Notamacropus eugenii: one gene and its partners. The protein of the gene in region 3 binds, or shares a complex with, the protein of the main gene of each other region. Links are inferred from orthologs where the notes say so. Each region holds a gene or a part of one and is shown on either strand. Other genes may lie near its edges. The genes, in order: CHTOP, THOC1 and ALYREF.

The links.
Region 1: ALYREF (region 3) and CHTOP share a complex: the UniProt entries of both Homo sapiens proteins name them as parts of the transcription/export (TREX) complex. The link is inferred for Notamacropus eugenii from reciprocal best matches to the Homo sapiens genes ALYREF and CHTOP.
Region 2: ALYREF (region 3) and THOC1 share a complex: the UniProt entries of both Homo sapiens proteins name them as parts of the transcription/export (TREX) complex. The link is inferred for Notamacropus eugenii from reciprocal best matches to the Homo sapiens genes ALYREF and THOC1.

What each region holds. Positions count from the first base shown.
Region 1 is NC_092873.1:377,600,103-377,603,846, forward strand, and holds the start of CHTOP (chromatin target of PRMT1 protein), read left to right. Parts: upstream 1-1,195; 5' UTR 1,196-1,465; intron 1,466-1,587; exon of another isoform or gene 1,588-1,708; intron 1,709-2,272; 5' UTR 2,273-2,289; coding exon 2,290-2,354; intron 2,355-3,744. UniProt on the Homo sapiens protein: Plays an important role in the ligand-dependent activation of estrogen receptor target genes. May play a role in the silencing of fetal globin genes.
Region 2 is NC_092875.1:244,527,787-244,531,530, forward strand, and holds the start of THOC1 (THO complex subunit 1), read left to right. Parts: upstream 1-939; 5' UTR 940-983; coding exon 984-1,037; intron 1,038-3,744. UniProt on the Homo sapiens protein: Component of the THO subcomplex of the TREX complex which is thought to couple mRNA transcription, processing and nuclear export, and which specifically associates with spliced mRNA and not with unspliced pre-mRNA.
Region 3 is NC_092873.1:325,989,908-325,993,651, reverse strand, and holds the start of ALYREF (THO complex subunit 4), read left to right. Parts: upstream 1-1,026; coding exon 1,027-1,266; intron 1,267-1,699; coding exon 1,700-1,831; intron 1,832-3,102; coding exon 3,103-3,250; intron 3,251-3,744. Other genes in the region: ANAPC11 (anaphase-promoting complex subunit 11), read right to left, coding at 746-1,064. UniProt on the Homo sapiens protein: Functions as an mRNA export adapter; component of the transcription/export (TREX) complex which is thought to couple mRNA transcription, processing and nuclear export, and specifically associates with spliced mRNA and not with unspliced pre-mRNA.

The DNA of each region.
Region 1 (3,744 bases), about 52 Mb from region 3:
CCATCTCTCCCCCCATCCATCCCCCCATTTCCACCTTCACCTCCCACATAGCCCTCTCTCTGCCCTCAGCCTCCCCCAGTTTACTGTCCCAGGCTGGACCATAGCATTTGTGGATCACTGCTCCATTATGCATTAAAGGCTCCTCTCCCAACAGTTGTGGTGTCTGTCTCCTTTGGGGGTTAGTGAAGAAGAAGGGCTAACTCTGCCTGAGGGCAGTTATTGGAAGGGGTCATGACTCTTCTGAAAATCCCTGGAGATTGGATATTTTGGGTTCCAGACCGATGGAGGAGGAGGGTAGACTTGTATAGTGTGCCTCATTTTCCCCTTTGAAAGGTGAGAAGGGGAGGAACCCTCTTTCCGAAAAGGACTAAGATTCTAAGACAGGTAAAGAGGGCTGATCAATCACCTGAGTCTCCCTCCACTTCATCAGGATGTAATCAAGGTTGAGTTGTTAATAAGGTAAAGCTGTACCCTAAGAAGGGATAGAGGTCCAAAAATCATTTAGGATAATAAGATCAAGAATTGAGACTTTTAAAACGTTTTTCATCCAGGAGCTCTCTTTGTGAACTGTTTGGTTACATCTGGCAGTCTGGCGCCAAGCACTTAATGTTTATCGATTGACTGGTGAAGATGGCCGACCCTCTCGGAATTCTTGTTTAAGTGCACAAAACGCGTACAATTACAAAAGCAGCCATTTACACTGAAATGATTGTCAAAATATTTTTAAAACAGTTTCTGAAGCCCAGGTTAAGACCCGACCTCTTCTACAGCCCAACTGTCACTGCACAGTGAAAGCGGTGCCTAATTAGCCACAGGTTAAACGGGGAAGCATAAACGGCAGCTTGGGATTAAACCTCGGTCTGCTCCTGGTTACAGCCCGGACAAGTGAGCGGCGAAAACAGGGCTGAGCCTGGGCGGGGAGGGAAGGACCCGGGTCTACCGCTGCCACCTGTTCTCACCCTGGGGGCACCGGGAGCGGGCACCTGACAGAGCCCGGGATTTCAGGGTCGGATGGGCACAAGACCAGGGTGTACAGTGTAAATGCCCGCTGGGTCTACAAAAGCACCAGGTAGTCACCGCCCCCCTCCTCCCCCCCGGAAACACGTGTTAGCAACCACGCCGGGGGCCGGGCCTACGACAGCCCCGCCCCTCGCGACGAGCGCGCGTCTCACACCAACGTCCACGCGCCGCCGCCATTTTGGCCACCGCCATTCCACTCCAAGCGTGGCGGCCATTTTGTTCGGGTCGCCGAGTGGGAGTGGGTTGCGGTAGCGGGCGAGAGGGCGGCCTGAAAGGACGAGGACCCAACAGCCAGCCCGTCACGCAAGCGGCTAACCACCCTCGGTCTCGGCCCAGCACCTCCAGCCGCCCCAGACAAGCCCAGCGCGGCCGGTCTCCGGCCCCACAACCGCAACCGCAGTGGCAGCGGCGGCCCCCGGCGGAGCGCTGGCGTCCGTGTCCTTTGGTGCGTGCGCGCGTGCGCGGCCGGGCCTGGGGCCTGGGGCGGGGGAGGGGGGCTGAAGAAAAACCTTGGATGGGGGGCTTGAAGAGGAAGGGGTAAGGTGGGGAGAAGGGAACGACCAAAGGGGGGGCGGGGGGCGCCTGTCACGTGACTAGAAAGCGCTGCGGGAGGCGAGCGATGGGCGGGGGCGGGGGGGGGGGGGAAGACGAGCTCGCGTGGCCGCGGAACGACCGAGGGAGCTAGAGGGTGAGGACGGAGGGCGGAGGAGGAGAGCGTTTGGGGGCCCCATGGCTGGGGAGCAGCACCCGAAGAATGACGGGGGGTGGGGCGAGGAGCCCCAGAGAAGGGGACCCTGGGGGCTGGGAGCGGGGGAGAGACGGAGGAGAGAAAAGGCCGGTGGAAGGTTTAGGCCGCCAAGTTTGAGAGAGAAGTCGGGGTGCCATGTATGCTTGGGTACGCAGTGTTAGTTGGTTTGGGGGTCCCAGGGCTCCGCGGAGGCGATCTGAGGAAGGCCGGGATGGAAGCTTTCGGGGGCAGTTGTGGAAGGGTCCTGCCACCGCCTCCCGATCGGTGCCCGTCAGTGAGGGGCCCTCCTTGATGAGCTGCTGGCCTCCTGGCACCCCCATCCCGGATTCTCGGCGGGGCGGCCCCCCTTGTTCACTGCGGGCCCCGCTTTGTGTCGTCGCGCCGCTCTCTCGGACGGCCGCTTCTGTTAGCGAGGCCGTTGTCCCTCTCCCAGCGGCTGCTTGTGTCGGCCCCCTGGGGTGGCATCCTTACCGTTGTGTTTAAACCGCCCGTTATCCTTTGCAGATTCCCGGGATCTGAAGATGGCTGCACAGTCAGCTCCGAAAGTTGTGCTAAAGAGCACCACCAAGATGTCTCTAAATGAGCGGTGAGGCAGCCACCAGAAACTTCAGCTCCTCCCTAAGGAAGCTTTACTTAAGTTGGCCCCGGGGTCCGATGTTCTCAAACCATCTTGGTTTCTGCCCAGTGTTTAAGTTAAAGCTAACTTAAATATCAACAGAAGGCTAACGACCTCTGTTCTTAAGTCGCCTCATACTGTGGTACGCGAAACAGAGTGGGCAATGTTACAGAACACGTTATCGGTAGCTGTGTACGTTAAATTATTTGAACCGTTAACCTGGTGGGATGTGTTTTAAACTCAAGCACTTCACACCCTCCCTTTTTCTTCATGTTTTTTACATTGATATAGGGGATGCTGCAGCACAGTAGCATGTTACCCTGGCCGTAGGAGGCTTGCTGCCCAGTCCAAGGCCGACATGATTGTGGTCCGGCCTGTAAGAGGCAGGTAGCAGGCCAAAACTCAGCCCAAAGGCTCTTGAATGCTGTTCTTGGGCCTTGTAAGAGGCACCCTCTTTGCTTCAACTCTGCATCTTTCAGTACTGCTTTAGGCTTTGTTTTTACTTCTTTTTCTGTTAAATGTTCTTTCCTGTTCATATTGACCTTTCATAGATGAGACTCATTGGAGTGTCATCACATTCTTAACCTAAGTTGTTGCGCTAATGCATGACTTTTTCAAGAAGATTCACTTGGGGTAATTAGGAGGGAAGCCATTTTAAGCCCAGGAAAGTAAAGCTGTTAAAATATAACACCATAAAGATTTCTGTTAAAATTTTTTATGGGGTTCCTTTAATTAAATGGAAGGTAAATTACAGTATGGGACAGAGCAAACTAGTGGGGAGGTGTTTCTTTTTTAAACTGTTAAGATTAATATTCACCATGAGAGGCAAGCATTACGTAGTAGATAGAGAATACACTTTTGGGTTGAAAAGATCCAAATTCAGGTCTTGCCTCTGACATTCTGGCTCTATAACTTTGAGCAAGTAATTTAATTTCAGTGCCCTGGGCAGCTCTCTTAAGATTTTTTTCTTTAAGTTAAGGCAGGGGTAAACCTGCCTTGGTAGAGGGAGCCTCATTACTGATAGCTCTCTATACCAGTGGAATCATTAAGTCCAGGCCAAAAAATGTTCAACATGAAGGCTCCTCTGGGTGTGGATAGATAAGCCATTTGAGTCAGGAAAGCCTGGGTTCAAGGAGCCACTGACTGTGACCTTAGGTCACCTAACCTCCCAGAATTCTCAGATGAGAGGTGTTTGTTTAGGGAGCCTGACTTAAAGTCAGACCTCAGTGGAGTCTCACCTAAAAATCTTAGTAACTGTGTGACCTTTAACAAATTACTAATTATCCTATCTGGGCCCCAGTTCCTCTTCTATAAAATGAGGCAGTTGGAATACATTTGGCCCTGAGATCGTCGTGATCCT
Region 2 (3,744 bases), on a different chromosome or scaffold from region 3:
TAAATCACTGAAATAGAAACATCTGGTCACCACAGACTTGTCGGATGACTGCAAACAAAATACCCCCCTGTCCTTTTTCCTGTTGACTCCAAACCCGCTCACCCTTGGTCTCCTGAAGCAACAGGAAAGAGAGAATTCAAGGAAAAAAGAGGACCAACGTACCCCCCACCCCCACCCCAAGCGCCAAACGGCCCAGCAACAGCTCCCCGGACCTACGATCTCCCCGGTGCTGGCACTGCACCCAAGCTACGCCTTGGCGGACCGGCAGTAGCTACGACCCCAACTCCATCTCTCGGGGGTCCCTCCGGTGACGAGGCCCTCCAAGGAGAGGCAGGCTGGGGGCTTCATTCGAATCCAAGCTTTCCCGGCTTGTTAGCGCCCCCCGGGGGACGGGCTTTAGGGACGACTTCGAGAGCCCGGGTCGGGTCACTTCTATGCCCTAGGGAGGCCTCAGGGTGGACGGCGAGCTCAACGGACAAAGGGGCAGCGGGGACAAGAGGGGAGCAGCAGGGTCGCCCCTTCAGGAAGCGCGACAAGGGTGGGCCGGAGGGGGGATTCGCCCACTTTTGCTCCGGCCCGGACCGCGTCCGAGCTCTCCGGCGGCGAACGGGGCTCTGGAGAGGAAGGGGGCGGGCCTCGCGCCACAGGGATCACTGAGGTGCTAACGCGAGAGGGAGACACCTTTTCTCCGAATCCCGCTCGATACCAACGGACAGGATCCGCACAACCACCAGGTGTTCCGGGGCGAGCACAGCCCTCGCGCCACCACCGCTGGCAGAACACGGAAACACCTCCTTCCTTCTGCGGCCGGCGCAGCGATACCGGCCCCTCCGCCAGAGCTCCGCCCCCTCCGCCGACGGCGCATGCGTCCCACACAACCGCCCGGTGCCGCTCTAGCCGCGCAAAGGAGCTCGCTGTGTGCCTGGGACCCTGCGTCATCAGGGGGCGCCACGGCGCGTTAGCGGGCACGCGCAAGCGAGAAGATGTCTCCGTCGCCGCCTCTCTTCAGTTTCCCCGAAGCACAGACTCGGTTTACGGTGAGATGTAGGAAGCGGAGGGGGTGGCCGAAAACCACTTTTTCCCCTTTCTCTCCTCTGCCTTCTCCGTGGTACACCGGCTCTCCCACGGGGAGGAACCCAGAGCAGGGGACGTGTGTACACAGCGGCGTTCTCTACTGGTTTTTTGGGGGGAGGGGCAGGCTACCTGGCCCTTCAGCGCGCGCGTCTCTGCCTCCCCAACCGCGGCAGCATTCCCACTCCCCGCGTGTCCCTCGCGACTCTCGCCACACCTGGTTCCCCACGCAGAGCTCCTCCGCCGCCTCCCCATTGAGGGTAGAGGCGGGAAAGCGCTGGCGCCGGGGGCGGGTGGGTGGTCAGCCTGTGCCTGAGGAGGGAAGACAGTTGAGGGCTGGGGTGGGGGGCTGTCACTTAAACGTGCTGCGTCTGAGAACCCCACAGCTCGCGTCCGCCCCGCGCCAGCGTCGATCGTGAGCTCGGCGGTTCGTTTGCCTTCCTTTCGCTTTTGGCTAAAATCAAGGGTAAATTCCGACTTCCAAAAGTGTGAAGCGTCTGCTGTGTCCTGAGGCACCCTGCTGGGTGCCGGGGGGTAGATGGGACATGACAGGTCATGACACAAAATAACGTGTGAAGTGGGCAGAGGCTGCAGCACGACGCGGGGGAAGTGCTGGGGGAGATCTCCTCGTGGACTGAGAGTGGGTGTGGAGAGGGCCCGCTGGGAAAAACCTGCAGGTGTTCCGCCTAGCTCCGTCGTGACAGCGCTTCACACTCACACCCCCTCCACCCCCCACCCCCACCCCCGGGACTTGGCGCCTGTGTATGTACAATTATGTCAAATTTTCTTTTTACTGGACACTCCCTCCACCGAGGAAGATCCACAGGTATCTTTGCAGGTGAGGACACTGAGGTGTCGGTTCAGCGACTTCTTCATTGTCCCCTCTGGTGGATCAGGATCTCAAACCCAGATCTTATACCTACCTAAACTAGGGCGATTCCCCCCACCATCCCACTGCTTATTTAGCTATTTTCTTCGTTTAATGCTGTTAGATGACTCATACCTGTTGTACAAGATTTGATTGAGTAATTAACATACTTAATTACATGGTCATGTAAATTGGTGCAGAAGTAGGAGCTCTAAAGAAAAAAACTGATCCTTTATGCTGTCACTGTATAAATTTCCTTACATGCTGATGTTTTCTTTGCAAAATGATTTGGGGGAGGGGGGAAATAGTAGATATGACATTGGTGTTATTTTCCATGCGTTCTTTTTTCCAAGTTACTATTTAAAATCGATCCCCTAGTCATTTGTAGTTCTTCTAAGAGGAACCACTTAATCATATTCACTGTCTAGACCTGGTGTGTATCTCCTTTAGAGGTCTTCAAGCAGAGGCTGACTGATCATTTTGTAGGACATATTTTCTGCTGTCAAGTGGACTACATGTCCCAGCTCTCAAATTCTGTGATTTTGTGACATCATCTTATCTACCCTAACCAATGATCCTTTCCCTTATTCGAGCCTCCTCTTTTTCTCAACATAATTTTTTAAAAACCCATTTTGTAGTCCTTAGCATGTTATTTATATACTTACATGTACAGTATAACTCATTCTGTATTTTAATCTTATTCTTATGGGACTAGGTCATTATTTTATATAATCAATTATTTTGGTTGATTGGTTATTTTCCTGTGAATCCACACAGGCTTTTTAGACAATTCTTTTCTCTCTTCATTGCAATCTTTTCTCTTTGTGTCTTCAGCATTTTGTTTTTAAATCCCTTCTGAGCTTTCTCCATAGAATTTTAGGTAAGGGCATTCACTTTCTGAATTCTGAAGTTTGGCTTCTCAAAATCTAAGGTTCATATGAAATTATGATAAGCTTTCTGTTTCCTTAGGAGAAATTCTGAGATGCAGGGATATCCACCTACAAAGTTGCCCTCATTTCTGTTTCAGCAAACTCCTTGTTGGTTAGATTCAAGTCCAGTACCTTGTTGCTTCTACATTTTGATTGGTCAGTAATTTATTAACTTTTTTTCTTTTGGACATCAAGAGAGACAGCTGGAAGATGAACTGATAATTGAAGTCTGTCATCACTACTGTATTATGTGTCAATACCCAGCTTTGACCTATTTCCCAAACTCATTTACTTGCTCCTTCTGTTTAGGTGGTCTGTTGTATCCTCCCATGGCAGTATTACTATTAAGAAGAGATAGAATGATGGTGATGATGACAGAGGAATAAGGGCTATCCAACATTTAATTTGCTTTTGTTTTCTTTGTCAAGGAGAATGGTGTGTGGATTGGAAAGGACAAAACAAAAATGGCTCCTAGAGAGCTGAAAACAAAGAGAAGTAAAGAGATAGAGAGCATCTTGGTACAGAATGTTATACGCTGTCAGCCATGGTGACTTTCATTTGTTTTTGCTTAATTGTTTGTTATAGGGAAGGGTTCAGTGGAAGGGAAAGAGAGTTAATCATTCAGGAATGACTGTGATGTATAAAAATCAATAAAACCCACTTTAAAACCGATCTTGGAGAATAGAAGAGATGCTACAGAAATGGAGAAGGGCAAATACCCTTTCAAGAAAGGGATGAAGGAAGCTGCAAACTATAGGCCATTGTTTGACCTTGACTCCTGGCAAAATTCTAGACATATATTATTATAAAGATGGTTAGTGAACGCCTGAAAAAGAAAGTAATGTTCACAAAGAGTGAGTGTAGCTTCAGCAAGAA
Region 3 (3,744 bases):
CTTCAATGGCCTGCTAGAGAAGGATTTCCTGTAAACCTATGAAAGCACCAACTCCTAGAGAAAACTAAGATTTGAGCCGTCTTGTCTTGGGATGAGAACACGACCGTCACCCCGGTAGGATAAAAGCCCCTTAGGGGCAAGGGTGGTTCCGTTTTGGTTTCTGGATTCCCAGCACCCAACAGGCCCTTAAGAAATGCTTCACCGATTCGAACGGAATCAAGGAGAAAACATGAAAACTAAAGAAATCTCCACTCGCAGCAGGGGAGCAGGGGAGCCCAAATCAGTTTCCTTCTCTTCCTGGGGCGGCCCCGCTTACTCCCCCTCCCCCAGGCTCACGTGACTCCGCCCCCTCCCCAGAATTCCCACCGGGTTCAGGCCTCACACCTAAGGCAAGCCTGGGCTTCAGCCAGCGCAGGACCCAGGTCCCTCCTGAGTTCCCACTTGAGTCAGGGGCTTCCCCCCCACCCCGAGTTCTCACCTCCAGTCACAGTTCTCCCTTGAGTCTAAGCCCCTTCTTTATGCTGCCCCCACCTCCGTCGGGGGCCCCTACTGGACTCCAGGCCCTTCGCTTTACGCGCCCGCTCCCCCGAATTCTCTCGCGCCCCACGGTAGCCCCCGGCCCCGCCCCGCCCCCGCCCCCGGGCTCGCCCCGGCCCCGCCCCCGTCCCCGCTCCCGGGCTCTCTTCTCCTCCCGGGGGCGGCAGGCCCCCTCCCGAGTTATAGCGCCCCCTGCTAGAGTTCACACCTGGGTTCGCGCCTGGCTCCCGGAGCTCGCGCCCTTCCGTTGGCGCCCTCGCGACAAGTACAAAAAGGGCCGCAGGGGTCCGGGCAGCGGCTGTCAGCGTGCGGCCGGAGCAGAGGACGAGCGAGGCTCTGCCGGGAGCTCGGTCCGCCCGCCGAGCGCCGACAACTCGGAGGCAAGCCCAGGCGTCCCGGAAGCGCCCTGAACCTTCGGCCGCGAAGGAAGTGACGTACCGACGTGCTGACGCGCGGGGTTCGTGCCGAGGCCCCGATTCCGCGCCCGCCATGGCCGACAAGATGGACATGTCCCTGGACGACATCATTAAACTCAACCGGAGTCAGCGGGGCGGACGCGGCGGGGGCCGGGGCCGAGGCCGGGCCGGGGCCCAGGGCGGCCGCGGCGGCGGGGGCGCTCAGGCGGCCGCCCGCGTGAGCCGAGGCGGGGGGCCCATCCGGAACAGGCCGGCCATGGCCCGCGGAGGCGCCGGGGGCGGCGGCAGGAACCGACCCGCGCCCTACAGCCGAGTGAGTGAGCCAGCCTGGGGAGAGCGGGAGGCTGGGCCGGGCCTGGGCCGAGCGGGCCGGAGCGGGCCGGCCGAGGAGCTGAGGGGGCTGAGCCCTGGGAGGCCGAGGCGCAGAAGGGGAAAGGCCGGGTCCTTGTGTGGGGGCGTGCGGGGGTGGGGGGGGCTGACCCAGGACCGAGGGATCGCCGACCCTCACCCCCCACCCCCCGGAGGCCTTTTGTTTCTGATGGGCCACCGAGGCCTGGAGCCTCATGGCTACCTTCAGGGCGGGAACTGGGGCCTGCTTGGGGCGGCGGGAACGTGGGGGCGGGAAGGCGACCGCCTGCCCCCCTCGCCCGGGCCAGCGGGAGCGAGAAGGGGGCCCAGGGAAAGGAGAACCCGCCAGGCCCCGGCCGGGTGGGGGGACGACTCGCCGACCTTTGTGTTTGTTTCAGCCGAAGCAGCTTCCAGATAAGTGGCAGCACGACCTGTTCGACAGCGGCTTTGGAGGCGGGGCCGGCGTCGAGACCGGTGGGAAGTTGCTGGTCTCCAATCTGGATTTCGGGGTCTCAGATGCGGATATTCAGGTGAGGAGTGCGGCGGCTCCCGCGGAAGCCCCCTTGTCGGGAGCCAAGTGCACGGCGCGGGGTTCCCCCGACCCCCCACGGGCCTTGCAGGTGACTGGTCCTCATCCCTCCTTCTGGAGCCCAGGCTGTCAGTGGTAAAGCTGAGGGTGCAGTGAGGGCTGCGGGGAACTGGCGTAGGCCGGGATTTTTGCTTCCCAGGCTTCTTGAGGCCGTTCAGAGTGACTGAGCCTGGACAGATTTTTGTGTCGTTCGTTGTTGTGCTGAAAACGCTAGGTTTGAGAGAGGAGGTGTAGCTTCTCTCAGGCTAAAAGAGCAAAGAAGCAGCAGCCTTGTAACCTTAATTGGCTCTTCATCAAAATATGTCCGATGCTCATTCTTCTGGTATAGAAATGGGCATCCACAAAGCACCTGTTTCAGGATTAAGTCAAAAAACAGTGCTCTTTTTTAAAAAATCTAACCTCTTTCCTGTTAAGAAACTCCTTTCCAGGAGTTAAAACTTTGGAGGTTGGAAATGGTTGGGACTGGATGCCAGGCTTTCCTGGGTCCTACTTCCTCGAGCCCAGCCATACGGCTTTGCTGTGGGAGGACAGAGCAAGGCAGACAAGCACTCATGGTGTGTCAACACTTTTTTTAAGGTGGTTTCTGGCATCCACTGGAAACCGCTTTTGGTGAACTCCACTTCCCGCTGTGTGCCTGCGGCCGGAGTATCCCCACACTCTGGGTTCCCTCTCCAACTCCCAGCCTGCCGTGAGGTCAGGGCAGTTTCCATGGCAGCGCTTGACGTCAGACTTTGCGGCAGGCTTGAGTAGGAGGAGAGGGAAACGCAGGTGAGCCAGAATCTGCCTTCTGGGGGTGGGTCTGGGATCAGGTCTATTGAATCAATGGGCCCTTAAATCTGTTACAGTGGCCTGCAAAGCTTCCCTTGCTCTGTGACCTGGAGGTTTTCTTCATTTCTTAGAACACTCTTTTGTTAAGAGTGGTTTTTCTTCCTTGAGAAAAGACAGCCGCTGAATATTATTCCCCTCTCCGCTGGGCAAAGTACTCTTTGGCCCATAGCATCATACAGAGGGCATGCCCCAAAGTTGGCATGACCCGGGACAGGCCCAGCTGCTTTTGGAAGTTGCTGTTCCGCTCTCCCCACCCTCTCCTCCCTAGATGTGTGTTCCCTTCCAGGAACATAACTCCTAATGTAAATATTACTGGGGTCCTCTTCCTTGGACGTTATAGGAGAGAGCCTTGTTAGTCATTTTTCCTTTCTTTCCTGTTTTTAGGAACTATTTGCTGAATTCGGAACTCTAAAAAAGGCAGCTGTACATTATGATCGGTCTGGCCGGAGCTTAGGGACAGCAGATGTTCACTTTGAGCGAAAAGCAGACGCTCTGAAGGCCATGAAACAGTATAATGGTGTCCCTTTGGATGGTAAGTTGAGCCTTCCATCATTGAAGGGCTGGGTGCTACGTTTTGTGGAGTATGGGGCTGTCATCTGCCCGTGTAGGAATATGATTTGCCCACTCTGGCCGAGCACACTTTGCATTTGCCCGCTTTGTCTCTCTCTTCCGTTCTGCCACCTTTCGTGCTGCCCCATACATCTGGACCAACCTCTTGTGACCCCCTCCTTCAGATCCTTCCTGAAGATTCACTTCTGTGAGGCCTTCCCAGAACCACCATAGTACACCTCAAAGAGCGGGGCTATAATGATAAAGAAAAAGGTACTGGATCTTTTTTCCACTAGGTCAGCCAGGTGTATTTCCCTCTTCCACCCATTTCCACCAAAGAAAAAGTTATTGAATATTTACCCAGTTTTAACTTTGTCAAAGAGGAGGTTGGTGGTTTCTCTCTTGCCATTTGTCTTTCTCAAATATTTTCCAGTCTTTTCCCATGTTTGTATTTAGAATGAGACAACAAGGTACCCA